2 linked regions of the Arabidopsis thaliana genome follow. The protein of the gene in region 1 interacts with the protein of each later gene in a pairwise test. Each region holds a gene or a part of one and is shown on either strand. Other genes may lie near its edges.

Region 1 (8,198 bases):
CAAAATTTCTAGCTCATACATCTTCATTAGCCTTTTGTTTAGAGCAATCCTCTTCTGTCTAAACAGTGAAGATGTGAAGTCATGTGTAGAAACCACCATTATTTAAAGACGAGTCAAAATTTATTGGAAATTTTTCACAAACGAAGCTAAAACTACAAAAAAAGAAAAAAAATCAGACTTACCTCGGCTCTAAAACTTTACCAGTACCATATTCGGGATGGTGAACCACAACCGCGCTGGAATGAACCAAGTTCAATTTTATCGAGTCTTGAAACTCTCGAATGGATACAATATTATGGAACAAAAGAAGAGAAACAAGTAGCTGCATTCATCTTAAGAAACGCAAATTTTTCGAAGAAGCAACTTTCTCATCTAAACCCACCGATCATAACAAGAAATCTAAGATGCTTAAAAAGTTGTCATCATCGCCTATCTGTTCTCGTACTTGTCAGCTTCTATTTCTTTGAAACTATGGTCAATATGTCAAGTAACAATCATCTTTGTTTGGTTGGTGCATGTATGATTTTGAAATCTTAGTTAAGCTATTGGGAGACGTTATCATGTTGAAAACTATTCAAGTCCTGATATTTATCGTATCATAAAATAGTGTGTAAACACATTATTGAAGAATGTAACTAACGGATATATATACACTCAATCTGAAAATAAAGTTCACGCGTCTTTAATTTTCTTTAATCTAAGAAGTCAACATCAAACGAATATTTACATATAATTTACATAGAAGAAGATACTACTTGATATTCTCAATGCAACTAGAATATACATACAACTAGTCAATATAATAAAACCAAACAAGTAGTTATGAAAACTCGATTAAACGAAGACCACAGGCGTTGAATCAGCTACTGGTAGATTAGTAATAAATAAACCTCAAAATTAGTGAAGGAAGCAAAATAAAAGACTATAATTAACAAAAAGTCTTAAAACTTGATTAATAATTAAATGAAAGATTAATAAAATGCTAATTAAGAAAAGGACATAAAGTAAGAGGAAACAAGGAACGAGTTGGGGGGTTAGAAGAGGACGTGGTTGGGTTGTTTTCTTTTGTTTTGTTTCCTTCCACTCTTTCTTCTTCTTCATTTCCTCTTTCTTTCTTCTTCCTTCTCCATTTTTTCTCTAATCGTTGGACAAAAAAGATTGAGCCTTTTTCTGGGTTTTATTTTCTATAAAGGAATCGAAAGAAGCAAGGACAGATTTTAAAAAAAAAATCTTGGGTTTTCAAGAAAAAGTAGAGACATTTTAAAGGTATGATTTTTATGTTTGTTGTGGGCATGTAAATTTCTGGGTTTATCTTTGTCTCATGTATTGTGTTTCTTTATTTGAGAAAATTTATGACAAAGGAAGAAAACAAAAAGCTAGAAATTTGATTCCTTTTTAAGGGTTTTGTTTTCTCTCTTTGATCTTTTACAAGATTCTGGGTTCTTCAGATGTTTTTCTCCTTTTCTGGGTTTAATTCTTTTTGGGTTTTATCCAAATTTATGTAAAAATCTTGACTTTTTCCTCTCCTTTTTCAAAAGATGTTCTTGTCTGAATTTGATTGGTCAAAATCATTTAATTTGGATTATTAATGACAAAATCTACCCATTTAGATTGATACTTGTATAAAAGTTATAACCTTTGAGGGTCTTAGATCTGAAATTTAAAACCAAATTGGTAGATGATAAACAAAATTTCTAGGGTTTCATTGTGTGTTCTTCTTGTTTTGCAGAATCAATAGATTTGTGGGGGTGAAGTAAGGAACATGGAGGAAACAATGGCAGCTAGGTATTGGTGTCACATGTGTTCACAAATGGTGAATCCAGTAATGGAATCTGAGATCAAATGTCCCTTTTGCCAAAGCGGATTCATCGAAGAAATGAGCGGTAATGGCGGTGGAGGTGGTGGCAGAGGCATAAGAGATGTTCAAGATTCAGAAACCGATTTTGGAACAGACCGTGCATTGTCTCTATGGGCACCAATCTTGCTTGGAATGATGAGTAGTCCTCGAAGACGAAGAAGGTTTAGAAGATCAGAGTTTGGTGAAGAGAATGATGATAATGGTGATGACTTGACTACTAATGCTGATGGGAATGGGAATGATAGTAACAACAGTAATAATAACGTGTATCGTCATCATCGAGCTAGGAGACATGGTGGAGAGATTGATTTAGATAGAGAGTTTGAATCTATCTTGAGGAGAAGACGAAGAAGCTCAGGGAATATATTGCAGTTGCTTCAAGGGATTCGTGCAGGGATTGCTTCTGAGTATGAAAGCTCTGATAACAATTGGGATAATTCTCGAGAGAGGGATAGAGTTATAATGATTAATCCGTATAACCAATCGCTAGTTGTTCCTTCGGATCAGAATCAGAATCATCCTTCATTGACTTCACTTGGAGATTACTTCATTGGACCTGGTTTAGATCTTTTGCTTCAGCATTTGGCTGAGAATGATCCTAATAGGCAAGGGACTCCACCTGCTCGTAAAGAAGCTGTTGAAGCTTTACCAACGGTTAAGATAATGGAACCTTTGCAATGTTCTGTTTGTTTGGATGATTTTGAGAAAGGTACGGAAGCTAAAGAGATGCCTTGTAAGCATAAGTTTCATGTTCGGTGTATTGTTCCCTGGCTTGAGCTTCATAGTTCTTGTCCTGTGTGTCGTTTTGAGCTTCCTTCTAGTGCTGATGATGATGATGAGACTAAGACTGATTCCGAGAGAGTGCTGAGAACAAGAAATGTTCGGGAAACGAGTAACGGAAACGTTGTTGAGAATGTGGGAAATGCGGATAGAGGAAGAGAGGATGAGGTGAGGAGTGGAAATGGGAGACGGTTTTCGTTTCCATGGCCGTTTAGTGGATTGTTCTCGTCTTCTTCTTCTTCGTCTTCTTCAACCTCTGGATCTCAATCTGGTGAGAACAATTTCTTCTCAAGATCTTCTGGTTCTTCTCGCTGAGAGCAAAACAATCAAAAACTAAAACATCTTGGATTTTGTTATTGTTCTTCATCTTTTGTTGTTCTCTCATTTTTCTAGCTATTGAACTTGTTATTTCCTCTGCATTTCATTCTCTGCTTTACTGTACATAGAAATGATGTTCTTTCACTCAGACTGTTGAAAAACAAATATCCATTGTTGGTGTACAGAGATGATCAAATTTCAGTTTCCATTGTTTTAGTTTTCAAGTATGAAATTATCTGTCAATCGAGTCCAAATAATGACGAAATATATACAATGATTCAATCTTTCATGTTTTTGTACAGAGATGATCAAATTATGTGTGTCCATTATCTTTGTTTTTAAATATGAAAATTATATTTTCAGATGAATCCCAAATAATGATGGGAATTTTACAAAAATGGAGATAATGATGAGTCTTTGTCGGAATGATTTTTGTATGGGACGATTCATGCGCTGTCTTCTTTTTTGTCTTTCATGTCCCTGTCATTGTAAGATTATAAGAACATGAAACATAAACATATTTTCACCATTGTATTGGCGTATACATAAGAAATACTTGAGAAACAAAAAGAAATCATGATAATTGATACGTGTATGAATGATCCAATAGGTTTCAATACAACCAAAATATCCCAAAAGGAGCTGTTAAGTGGATTCACCGGTCACAGTAGTTGTGGTAATAAGCAAAAAATAGAACTTGAGTTTTCTATCTCAAGATTTTAATCACAATCTTGAATAGTTTCATAATAAAACGTTTAAAGTAGCGTTCCCCAAACGCCAAAAACGTGAATTTTTGAGTGGAATCATCACTTGACGGTCAAGATCTTGATCACGGAAGCATTACCGACTCGGAGTAGAGCAACAACGGAATCTCCAGTCTTGCATAGCTCTTTCTCTTTCCCGTACTGAGTAGCAAACTCGATAGCTTCTTCTGTTGATTCATCGTGTGAGGCTCTTGCGGATCCAGCGTAGAGCACTGGGATCAGACCACGGAAGATAAGGCTGTGTCTCGCGGGGGATTCATCGCTGCAAGACCAGTCAAAGAAGTCGGTTTTGATCTCAGGAACAACGACGGATAGAATAGGCATTCCTGGTCTGTACTTAGCCACAAGTCTTGCTGTGCTTCCTCCTCTGGTTAGGACCATGATGAGAGTGGCTCTAGCTGAGTTAGCAGTTCTGACAGCTGAAGATGCAAGTGACTCGAGTGGACTCATTGGAACTGGAGAGTACAGCATGATCCTCTTGAAGACATCACCGTAGTCAAGGGTGCTCTCGGCTTCCACGCAGATCTTAGCCATTGTACGGACGGCTAGTTCAGGGTATGCTCCAGCTGCAGTTTCACCACTGAGCATGACACAGTCTGTACCATCAAGGACTGCGTTTGCTACATCCGTAGCTTCGGCTCTTGTGGGTCTAGGAGATTTGATCATGGACTCGAGCATCTGAGTTGCTGTGACCACAGGTTTTCCCTGGATGTTGCATTTGTAGATCATCACCTTCTGAGCTAAGAAGATCTTCTCAATCGGGATTTCCATGCCCAGATCTCCTCTAGCAATCATGAAAGCGTCTGAATTGACCAAAATGTCATCAAAATTTGCCACACCTTCTTGGTTCTCGACCTAATCAATCAAAAAGAAGATAGCACAAAACCATCACAACCTAAAGATTTGATCCTGTAGTTTCCGGAACTAAAAAGAGAGCTTTGATTTAACATACCTTAGACATGAGAAGAATGTTTTTGGCGTGCTTTCCTAGAAGTTTCCGGACTTGAACCAAGTCTGAACCTTTCCTGACAAAAGACAGAGCAATCATGTCGATTTGATTCGGGACTCCCCATTGCATGATGTCTTCTTTGTCTTTCTCAGTTAGAGTTGGGAGATCCACAACAACACCTGGGAGATTAACGTTCTTTCTCTCACCGAGCATCGCAGAGTTCTCACACCGGCAACGGACTGTACCGTTCTCTTTGTCACAAGAGAGAACCAGTAAGGAGATTGTACCATCAGCACAAAGAATGACCATTCCTGGGTTCACATCAACAGCCAACTTTTTGTAGCTCATGCAAATCGTGTTCTCGTCACCCTTCAAGTCATAGTCAGTCGAAATAGTGATCTCTTGTCCTTGTTTCAGCTGGATTGGTTTCCCATCTTTCAAGAACCCGGTTCGGATTTCTGGACCCTTTATAACAGAAAAGAAACAACAACACTCCATTAGCAAAATCGAAAACAAACAAACAAATAGATCTGCCACAATTCACATACATAAGACAATTCAAGAACATCAGCTATCACCACTCTCAACAATTATAAGTCTTAGTCATCTATCAAATTTGTATTAACAACAAATTCTTCACCAGTTTCCAAGAGCTAACATCATTTTCTACATTTGGTCTCCACAACAAGAAGATTTCAACTCTTTCTTCTCAACTAATTTGGTCTAACAACTCAGAGTTCTAACTGGAGAAAGTCTCACAGATCTAGATTCATAATTCATAATAAATTTAGTAATTCCCAGATGGTAAAACATCATGAGAGTGAGGTTGGTAAGCGTTGTTCATAAGCAGAGTAAACATTAATAAACAGTCTAACACAAAAATGGCATAAACAGACAAAAAAACAGAAACCATTTACCAAAGATAGATGAAAATACAAAAGAGGCATAAATAAACATTTCACACATAGGAAATAAAATAGACGCGTCAATGTTACAGATCAATAAATAGAATCAAATACCAAAATCCAAACTAAATAAAATATCTAGAAACCCTAGAATTCCAAATCACAGTCGAATCTAAGTCAAAGGAGATGAAATTGGAAACAAAACAACATAAACTATAAAAATGGAAGTCATGTAATCGAACCTTGGTGTCGAGCATGACGGCACAGAGAATCCCAGTGTTAAGCATAGCTTGATGAAGATTATCGAGAGTCTCTTGATGGTATTCATGAGATCCATGAGAGAAATTGAAACGAGCAACGTTCATACCAGCCCTAAGAAGCTTCTCGACCATCGGAACAGATCTGGAAGCTGGACCTAGAGTACAAACGATCTTCGTCTTCGGCCTTTGCTCTATCATCGCCATCGCTAAGTGAAGAAAAAAAACAGACACGGAATTGAGAATCGAGGATCGCGGATGTTTGGTGGAAAGAGAGAGATGAAGAGAGATTTATGGAGAGAGATCTGGCTTGGAGAACAAGGAAAACAGAGAGAGAGAATCTGAGAAAGAATGAGAGATTTATGAGTTAAGAGTCTTCTTCTAGAGTTTTTTTTGACTTTTGAGGTAAAAAATGAGAAATGAAATTGAAGGTTATTGGTTTAGATTTGGTCAACAAAAGACCATATGTTTACTGATTGGTTCACACCGGTTTAATTTTCTTTGAATAATTAAGGAGTGACGCACATTGTTTATTAATATTCGTTTTCGTTTACCTTTTTATGTCTTCTCGATCTATTGTCGGGCCACGTTTTTTTCCAAATATAAAATATCTTATAATGATATCTCATTTAAGTGTTTATGTTGATTAAAAAATGGTATTAATTGTATTTTGGCATTTTGGCAATAGTGTTTAAACTAATTTCTGAAGTTGATCTTTGTTCTTTGTCTTCTTTCATGGTGTTAAGTGTTGAACTGCAGTAATTTATTTCCGGAAATATTGTGTTCTAGTTTGTCTCTATTGGTAATGGAATCTGTAAAAGAAAGCATTAAAACTGAACCAAACCAAACCTACCACTTGTTTAGACATTAAAACCATTTTCTGACCTAAAAGTGAACTTGGAGATGTTTGATAACTGACATATGTACCTTAATATTGACGAGCTCCAACAATCTCGAATAAATTTTAAGACTCCAAAAAAGTTAAAAGGTTTTAGCTCTTCTTCATGTTTTTATATAGAAGAATTGTTCTTTGTGCTTAACCAGAGTTTGAACATTGTCTAAATACTTTTGATATAGAAAATCTCCATTGAACCCAAATGAGGTAAACTTGACTCTATCATTCATTCTCTTCCGGCCCAAAACTTCTCTGTTCTTTTTTTAAGTCCTCTCTTGACGTTTGCGACTGAGCAAGATTACTAGTCTAAACTGACATAAATCTAAGCGCAGTGCGCATATGGTAAGAATTATTTCAGGTGAAAATGATCAGAGTTCGTCGTGATTCTGAGGTTTGTCTTGGTTCATCAACTTCTCGAGCTTCTGTTGTAGTTCCTATACAAAGACAAACACCAGGTTAAGGAAGTGTTAACTAGTGTAGGTCTGTTTTGAGATTTGAGATGACACAAAAACTTACTTTAAGTTTGTCTTCCAAACACCGAGCTGGAGTAGATAAGATGGCCGCATATCTGCAACAAGAGAGTAAAAATTTAAGGATATAAAAAGAAAAACTGGAGATAAAAGGAGATGATGACCCGTGAGATGTAGGTTACGATAAGAACTTACTCGCAACGGCTTGGTTCATCGACATCCATAAGCTCATTTTTCAACCCACATCTTAGTTTCACCTGCATTTAGTGAGACAGTCAAGCTTTGTATATCTCTGTGATCTTTGCAAGCGCAAAAATCTTCTCAGATAATTTTTTTTATATAAATATAATTGGAGAAAATATTAATTGAACAATTAGTTTGGATTTAATGTAATCAGACACTACCTTCAGGCTTCTATCGGGACCATTCCAGCATTTTTCTCCGTTGGTATATGACATGAATTGGTAAGAGTTCTCAAATTTGTCCCACTCCCTATTTTAGCAAATTCCATTAAACAAAATAAGGAAGCGACAAAATAAGCACAGATAAAATAATCACTCATATTTAATTATCATCTGCGAACCAATTCCTTGTTATTAGTTATCTGTATCATGAAAGAGATCAGCATGCACAGAAAAGATAAAGTGGCATGACACTTACCCTAACCGAGTTTTCGAATAGCCCTCCTCTTGTGTTGCTTCTTTATATGCGCAGACTTTGTAAGTATACCTACAGCATTATTTAGGTAATAACAGTAAATGCATCAGATATATAATTCTAATAGCTGATAGTAATGTTAATAAAGAATGGATGTGACATTAAATTGCTAAGATTATTCTTACTTGCCCTGTTTGCTCTCAAAACAACGACCATGGAATGAATAGAACTCTTTCTCTGGTCCTGTTATAAACAATATATAAGGACTAACTTAAAGAAAGGTAAACGTAAGTGAAGGCTTAGGATGTCTTATCATACAGACCAAAGTCTTGTTTTAGCTTCTTT
Region 2 (7,857 bases), on another chromosome or scaffold:
TATGATAAATTAGGTGGCGGAATGCGTTTCACAGAGAGTTTATCTCCACAAAGAAAATTTTAATTAAACAGATAAATATAGGGTTCGTCTTTTTCTTCATCATGCATGGGAACCATCGTCATCCATATATATATATATTCGACAGAAAATGAAATATTATAGTTTTCGACCTTCCAAGAATAATATATCTTAAAGATCGTGGAAAAGATTACTCATGAGTCATGACCTACTCTTTTTAAAAACACTTAGTTCATATATATGGTTCTATTATGGCGTTTCTTGAGCTAAATCAAAATGAAGGATTAGAATATGCTCGAAAAGGCGTCAAGAAAATCTTTGGATTTCAGTTGCATACTTGCTTGTAAAAACTAATTGTATTTGTTTTTGTTTTTTGTTCAAAAATTAATTATTTGTTTACCAGCTACAAAAATATATAACATGATTGATAAAGAGTGAATATCTAATAGAATTGATTACAAACATTATTTTGAAACAAATAGAGTGATAGGCATACCTATAATAATTCTGTCCAAAAGAAAAAAGAAAAAGGCATGCCTAAATTTATTACTTTCATAAACAAATAGTAATAATGAAAAGTGATCAAGCCCAAATTGCAAGAGCAGACATCATCCCAGCTCCAAGAAACAAAAAGCAATAAGAAACAACTTGAACTCTGAAATCAACACTCATCTTCTTGCTCAAGAAATCCGCAGCGATCAAATCCACAAGCGCCATGTACACAAGTATCCCCGCAGAGAGAGAATCGAGCACTCCTTCAGCCACCAATGCTGCAACGCTATAAGAGTTGTAAGATGAGGCAATGGCCGTTCCCACCGCTACACCGATCGGAGTAGTGATGGCGAAGAAGAAAGCCATCATGGCAGATCCACGCGGGGTTAGTCTGGCCTCTGCGACGCAGCCACCGAGGGCAAAACCTTCGAAGAATTGGTGGAAGGAAAGAGCGAGAAGGAGAGGACGTATGGTGCATGGGCTATGTGATACTCCAAGCGATATTCCTATGATTATTGAATGTGACACTATTCCCATTTCAAGTATCTGAATACAAAAATATAAGGGTATCATCAATTGATTTTGTGCATCGACACTATACAAGGAAATTATATAAACGGATTGGTTTGACTAAGTCACATAACGTCAAAATATATTAACACACACACACACACCAAAAAAAAAAAATGTTTCCACAATGCGTTTAAGTCGTCATTTGTATCTTTGGAAGAAAACTTAAATAATAGTATGATATTTTAGAATTATCTTATTTTTTCGTTTTCATATTAATAATGTTTTGGTAGAATGAACATGAAGTAGTACTATATATAATAGTTACGAAGATAACATTAAATAATTACTTAAACAAGCAATAAAATAAATTTTATTATTTTTTTCAATAACAAAATCTATATAGTGATTAGCAACTAACTAAACTTGGCATTGTAAAACTTTATAGTTGATTACTATAACAACTCTAAAACAGCTTATGCAAGTCATGTACAGTTATTAGAATTCATCCAATTGACTTGGCTACATTGTATATGAATGAAGTCAACTGCATTTGAAATAAATAAATCTTATTAGCATTAAAGAACTCAAAACTTAAAAGTCAGAGCTTACGAAAAACAAAGTCAAAGTCAAAAAACATATGAAGAAAAGAAAAAGGTCGTTTACCTGAGAAACAACAACGTGCCTCACACCACTGTCCAAGCCTACGTCCCCGTGGCCGTGGCTGTGGCCGTGTCCATGACCGGAAACACCACTTCTCTTAGAGAGAGCCTCAAAACCTTCGGCACCCATGGAGAGGCTATGACGGTGATGCTCCGCGTGAGCCCGCATCCCCACGATATGCAACGCCCCTCCATCTTCTTGATCTCTCAGAAAACCCGATTCAAGACCTGGGTCAGACATAACCGAAACTTGCGTACCAAGCGACTCGACGGACTGGTTCATCATCTTCTCCTGTTTCCTCTCGTAGTATCCCGTGATCATGAAATCCGCGAGCAGAGTAAGAAGCGCCGCGACCATGGCGAAGAATTCTGGAAAAGGGAACATTTTCCATGGAAACTCCGGCAGACATGGGTCGGACAAAGCTTTGGATCCGCCCGAGAGCATGTGAACGAACCCTGTTGCGAGGATAACTCCTGCTGCGAACGCTTTGGCTCCCCTCATTAAGCCACCGTTTAACGGAAGTAGGGTTCCAACTAGAGGAATCGAGACTCCGGCAGCTCCGGAGATAAGGATCGACGCCATAGCTGCGAACTTGAGGGTAAGAGCAGCTGCGTCATCTCGGCACGGGTCTGAGTCGCCCGAGTCACAGCTAGTTGTGAACGACTCTGTTTTGTTACATGCAAAAATAAATTGAGTTAACTTTGCTAAGAAAATCTCAAAATTTGCATTTAAGTGTGTTTAAGAGCGAAATGAAGTAATTGCTTTGAGATTTGAAGTGACAATACCTGTCAAACCAGATGATAATGGTCGAAGAAACTGCCAAAAATCCTGAAAACATTATGAGGCAAAATTATGTGAGGAAACAGGATTGAAGAAGCAAAATAACATTAAATAGATGAAGTGGAAGAAGTTTCAGACCTGTAAGAGAGACATTTACTAAATCCGATTAGGCGATTAAACTTGTAGAATTATATAAATTATTGCCAAGGAAACCAGCAAGCTAAGTATATATGGGTTATTAATATTATGGAGTTGTCTGTGTGTTTTATAAAGAAAGATTGGGAGAATGTCAATCAGTGCGAGGGTTTGTGTGTGCGTGCACGTACGTTAACAAGGTCACATGAGGTTCACGGGAATCAAATGACCATAGAATGTCGTCATTTTCATCTAGTACCCTCATTGACAAGAATATTAAAGTTTGGAAGATAATAACTACGAGAAAACAAATATAGAATTAGAGATGAGATGTATGAGAATGTTTTGTTATAATTGAAGTCTTTGTTCGTATCTTGCATCAGAAGTATGACTCTTGTTTGGTCAACTTGCAGAAAAATGACTATTACAATGCGAAATACTAGTAATGTTTTGCGTCTTAATAAAATTTCATTCAAAAGATTATGTAAGTTAGGTTTGCATTTTACAGTTGATTTTGTTTTTCTCCTATCTCATGATTCTCTGTTTTAATAATTAAAAGTTAAAATTTAGAAAATAGCCACAAACATATTCAAAAAGTATATATTTGGGCCAACCGGCCCAGTAAGGGAAGAATGTTCCTTAAGTTGCCTAAATGAGCGACTGAGAAACTGGCCCACAAAGGCCGGACCTGTATCATTCACAACCGGAAAACTTTAAAACTAATAAACCAACGTTCTTAAAAAAGCGACACTTTGGGCCATAATTTGTTGGGAAGGGAATAAGTAAGAATATGCTTTGGGCATATCTGATGATTTATATCTGTCTCATCTCATCTCTCATCGTTCCGGGAGAAGAGAAGAGAGACCCATCCCTCACTTCAAAGTTCAAAGTCTCGAAGGATCTTCTCCAACTCTCTCTAAACAAGATTCCAAATTTTCAAAGGTAAGCAATCGTTTCTTCTAATGAATTTCATTTCTCCGGTTTTGTAAGTTGAGTGATTTCGTTTTGAAGAAACTCTGAATATGATAGGAAATCAAAATTCACAGAGTTTTCATTCAGTTGGGTTTTCTCTGAATTTCATCAATGTACTTCTTTCTTACATTTACTTTAGTTGATCAAATAAATATCCAGTCTTTGACAATAGCTGATTTTCAGATTCGATAAAAGACTTCAAATTTCGTGTGTTTTGATTCTTCTCTTGTTATGGACGTAGCTGATTTAGGGGGGGGGGTGTGAAGATAAAGTTTCGATTTCTATTCATGTCTTTTTGGATTTTGATTTGAATTTGAAGTTAAACTAGAGAAAATCAGCTGAATCCTTACTTGTTATATGGTATGAAACATCTACTTGATATGTCTTGTTCTGCTGAACCAAATTATGTCTTGAAATCTTAGCTGCTTTTGTTTTTGCAGGTGAATTTGTTTGATAGAATCAAGAACAAACCTTTAAAATGGCGCATCTACTTTCAGCTTCATGCCCTTCAGTTATCTCACTTAGCAGCAGCAGCAGCAAGAATTCAGTTAAGCCGTTTGTTTCAGGGCAGACCTTCTTCAATGCTCAGCTTCTTTCAAGATCTTCTCTCAAAGGACTTCTCTTCCAAGAGAAGAAACCGAGAAAAAGCTGCGTTTTCAGAGCAACTGCTGTACCTATAACCCAACAAGCACCACCCGAAACATCTACCAATAACTCATCCTCTAAACCAAAGCGTGTTATGGTCATTGGTGGAGATGGTTATTGCGGTTGGGCTACTGCTCTCCACTTGTCCAAGAAGAATTACGAAGTTTGCATTGTTGACAACCTTGTAAGACGTCTTTTCGACCACCAGCTTGGACTTGAGTCATTGACTCCTATTGCCTCCATTCATGACCGAATCAGCCGATGGAAGGCTTTGACAGGGAAATCAATTGAGTTGTACGTTGGTGATATCTGTGATTTCGAATTCTTAGCTGAGTCTTTCAAGTCTTTTGAGCCGGATTCAGTTGTCCACTTTGGGGAACAGAGATCCGCTCCTTACTCGATGATTGACCGGTCCAGAGCAGTTTATACACAGCACAACAATGTGATTGGGACTCTCAACGTTCTCTTTGCTATAAAAGAGTTTGGAGAGGAGTGTCATCTTGTAAAACTTGGGACGATGGGTGAGTATGGAACTCCAAATATTGACATCGAGGAAGGTTATATAACCATAACCCACAACGGTAGAACTGACACTTTGCCATACCCCAAGCAAGCTAGCTCCTTTTATCATCTTAGCAAAGTTCATGATTCGCACAACATTGCTTTTACTTGCAAGGCTTGGGGTATTAGAGCCACTGATCTCAACCAAGGAGTTGTTTATGGAGTGAAGACTGATGAGACAGAGATGCATGAGGAACTCCGTAACCGACTGGATTACGATGCTGTGTTTGGTACAGCACTTAACCGGTTCTGTGTGCAAGCTGCTGTTGGTCACCCACTTACAGTTTATGGTAAAGGTGGTCAGGTAAATGACTTTCTTGATCTGTTTTCACATGAAATTTCAATCGAAAAATTTGAGGTTTTGATTGAAGTTTTTCCCTTTGCAGACGAGAGGCTACCTCGATATAAGAGACACGGTTCAATGTGTTGAGATCGCTATAGCAAACCCGGCAAAAGCTGGTGAGTTCCGGGTCTTCAACCAATTTACAGAACAGTTTTCAGTCAATGAACTGGCTTCACTCGTCACTAAAGCGGGTTCAAAGCTTGGGCTAGACGTGAAAAAGATGACGGTGCCTAACCCGAGAGTGGAGGCAGAAGAACATTACTACAACGCAAAGCACACTAAGCTGATGGAACTTGGACTTGAGCCTCACTATCTATCTGACTCACTTCTTGATTCGTTGCTCAACTTTGCTGTTCAGTTTAAAGATCGTGTGGACACGAAACAAATCATGCCTAGTGTTTCCTGGAAGAAGATTGGCGTCAAGACTAAGTCCATGACCACATAAAGTGCAGACCAATATTACACATAAGGAGAGATTATGAAAGAGATGATGTGTTGTTTGGTATCTTCAAACTTCATTTCTGCAAAAGACTTGCTAGGCTTAAGAGGTTTTGTCCATATTACATTGTGCAGGTTCTTTAATGTTAGATCTTAATTTCGATGAAAATGTTATAATGTTGCCTTAAATGTTATGTAATGAGAAAAACTATATTATATGAAAAATAAGAAAATGTTAAATAAGTAACAGAAAACCATCTTTTACTTCAGTTAAGAGAATCTGACGAATATCGATCAATGGTTGCAGAAAAATTTCTTCGAGATCTTAGACGAATAAAACTGTAATTAAATTTCTTCAATAAAATCTGGTTTAAAATTTATATAAGTTACGTAATACTTTTGGTGTATTAAATTTAAAATAATGGAGAGTGGTGTTGGTGGGTCATCGTCGTTGGCTATTTTTAAAAAATATTAATGTCTTTTCCAAATACGAAGGAAACTTGTGGGGTCAAACTCTAAGGAATAGAGTGGGTTTTGTATAATTATAATTGTAGCCCTAATGATTCTCTCGTTTTTTCGTATACTATTTTTCTAAAGAACAATAAACGATTCGATTACTACTATAGTTATAAAAAAAAAGAAACAGCTTACACATATTTTCACTTTCCCCATTTATTTTGTTTGACGAAAACCACATAACCAAAAGTAAGTCGATATCCCAATTGGCCAATTCCCATTTATTTTTTAATTGAAGAAAAATATGCAATATGATTTTATTTTTTTTCCGTCAAAATATGCAATATGATTATATGAATAAACTGCACTCTATCTGGACTCTGTGTTCCGCTTACGTACGTCTATGATTTTTTTTGCGTGCTTTTCTTTGAAACTATCAAATGAATCCTTAGTGGCCGAGCTGCCACCATATCTCAGAGTTACACGTAAAAGCGTATTGGGAAAATTTAATATTCATGTTGTGCGCCTCTTAACACATTTGTATCTACGATTTTGTCTCTGTTGTTTTTGCAGCATATCCGAAAATAGCACCAATGAGGAAAAGTGAGAGAGCTTGCTGTCCAAAAAGTGTATATATTTTTATTCAATTTTTTTAATGCTACTTACAAATGATATTGAAAAATAAAAGAAACTAGATATAAATAATAAAACAAGTGGATGGAATGATCAAATAATTGAACAAACAATTCTCCATAGTTAACACTTAACACTATTCAACTTAACTGAAATTAATAGTTTGAAAGCGTGGAGGCTTTTGGTGTGGAGGCACTGAGAGTTTTCTTTGCATTTTATTGCAAATATTAATATCATTATTTACTAAACATTTGTTGGAGAGATTGTTGGTTATGATTGATGAGCTCATCATCCTCGGCCTCCATCAGTATTCATCAACTTGCGAATTAAAAATATATACAAAATAGCATAACCTTAATTTCGAAGACATGTCACATGATCTCACACAAAATTCTTAATCCCACAAACTACCACCAAGTTGTATATAGGTCGGCAAGTTTTTTTCTTTTTTCAAGTTAATTTCGGATGTATGAACGTATGTGCATACACTTTACAGTATGGTTTTGAAACTTGAATATCAAAAATTTATCTATGGAAATTACTCCTTAGCAAATGATATCTGAGTAACAAAGAATAATAGTATTTTGTAACACGCACAAAAATATGAACTAGTGGAATATATTAAAAACGATGTCTCCGTTACTTCGCCTATACTGAAACTCGTTTGAGTTTTAACAAATTAAAGGTAAAAAATATATTACGCTTCGCACATGCAAAAAATAAAAATGACTGCATCCAGATCATCCGAAGCTCTCTCGGTAAACTAGCACTTTAGTGTGAGATCAGCACCTAACATTTATTTGACATAGGTCAACCTTGACCCTTGAAATGTGGAACTTGGACTTTTGACCTCATTTTCCTCAACCTACTAGAAAAATCGACCGGTATAAAGAAGCTACATATAGCATTCTATTCCAATTACCAACTCGAAAGAAGAAGAAGAAAAAAGAGAAATTCTTGGTCTTTTCTGAATCTTTGAAAAAGAAAATCAATAATTGTGGGGAGGACAAAAAAAGAGGGTTTGTTTTTGGAGATGCCACTTAAGCCCAGCGTCGCTGTCAAAACCCCCTCAATTATTGAAAGTGGGTCTTCTGATTCATTCATTTCCAAAACCCTTATGAATTTATAACCAAATAATTCAAAAATGTATATACAATTCCACAACTAACCTTTTTCTCAAACAAGATACGTTTGTTTAATTAAGGGAAAGA

Evidence for each region.
Region 2: the proteins of AT5G56350 (region 1) and SQD1 interact in a two-hybrid assay, tested with the Arabidopsis thaliana proteins (one large-scale study listed by BioGRID).

The regions. Positions count from the first base shown.
Region 1 is NC_003076.8:22,816,492-22,824,689, forward strand, and holds AT5G56350 (Pyruvate kinase family protein), read right to left. Parts: upstream 6,414-8,198; 5' UTR 6,039-6,413; coding exon 5,817-6,038; intron 5,135-5,816; coding exon 4,673-5,134; intron 4,576-4,672; coding exon 3,763-4,575; 3' UTR 3,445-3,762; downstream 1-3,444. Other genes in the region: ATCRT1 (RING/U-box superfamily protein), read left to right, coding at 1,763-2,953; PSL4 (calmodulin-binding protein), read right to left, coding at 7,095-7,160, 7,243-7,294, 7,392-7,453, 7,601-7,688, 7,857-7,925, 8,039-8,096, 8,176-8,198.
Region 2 is NC_003075.7:15,932,003-15,939,859, forward strand, and holds SQD1 (sulfoquinovosyldiacylglycerol 1), read left to right. Parts: upstream 1-3,370; 5' UTR 3,371-3,540; intron 3,541-4,010; 5' UTR 4,011-4,048; coding exon 4,049-5,080; intron 5,081-5,162; coding exon 5,163-5,564; 3' UTR 5,565-5,831; downstream 5,832-7,857. Other genes in the region: ZIP9 (ZIP metal ion transporter family), read right to left, coding at 601-1,056, 1,687-2,348, 2,469-2,511, 2,602-2,616. UniProt on the Arabidopsis thaliana protein: Involved in the biosynthesis of sulfolipids found in thylakoid membranes. Converts UDP-glucose and sulfite to the sulfolipid head group precursor UDP-sulfoquinovose.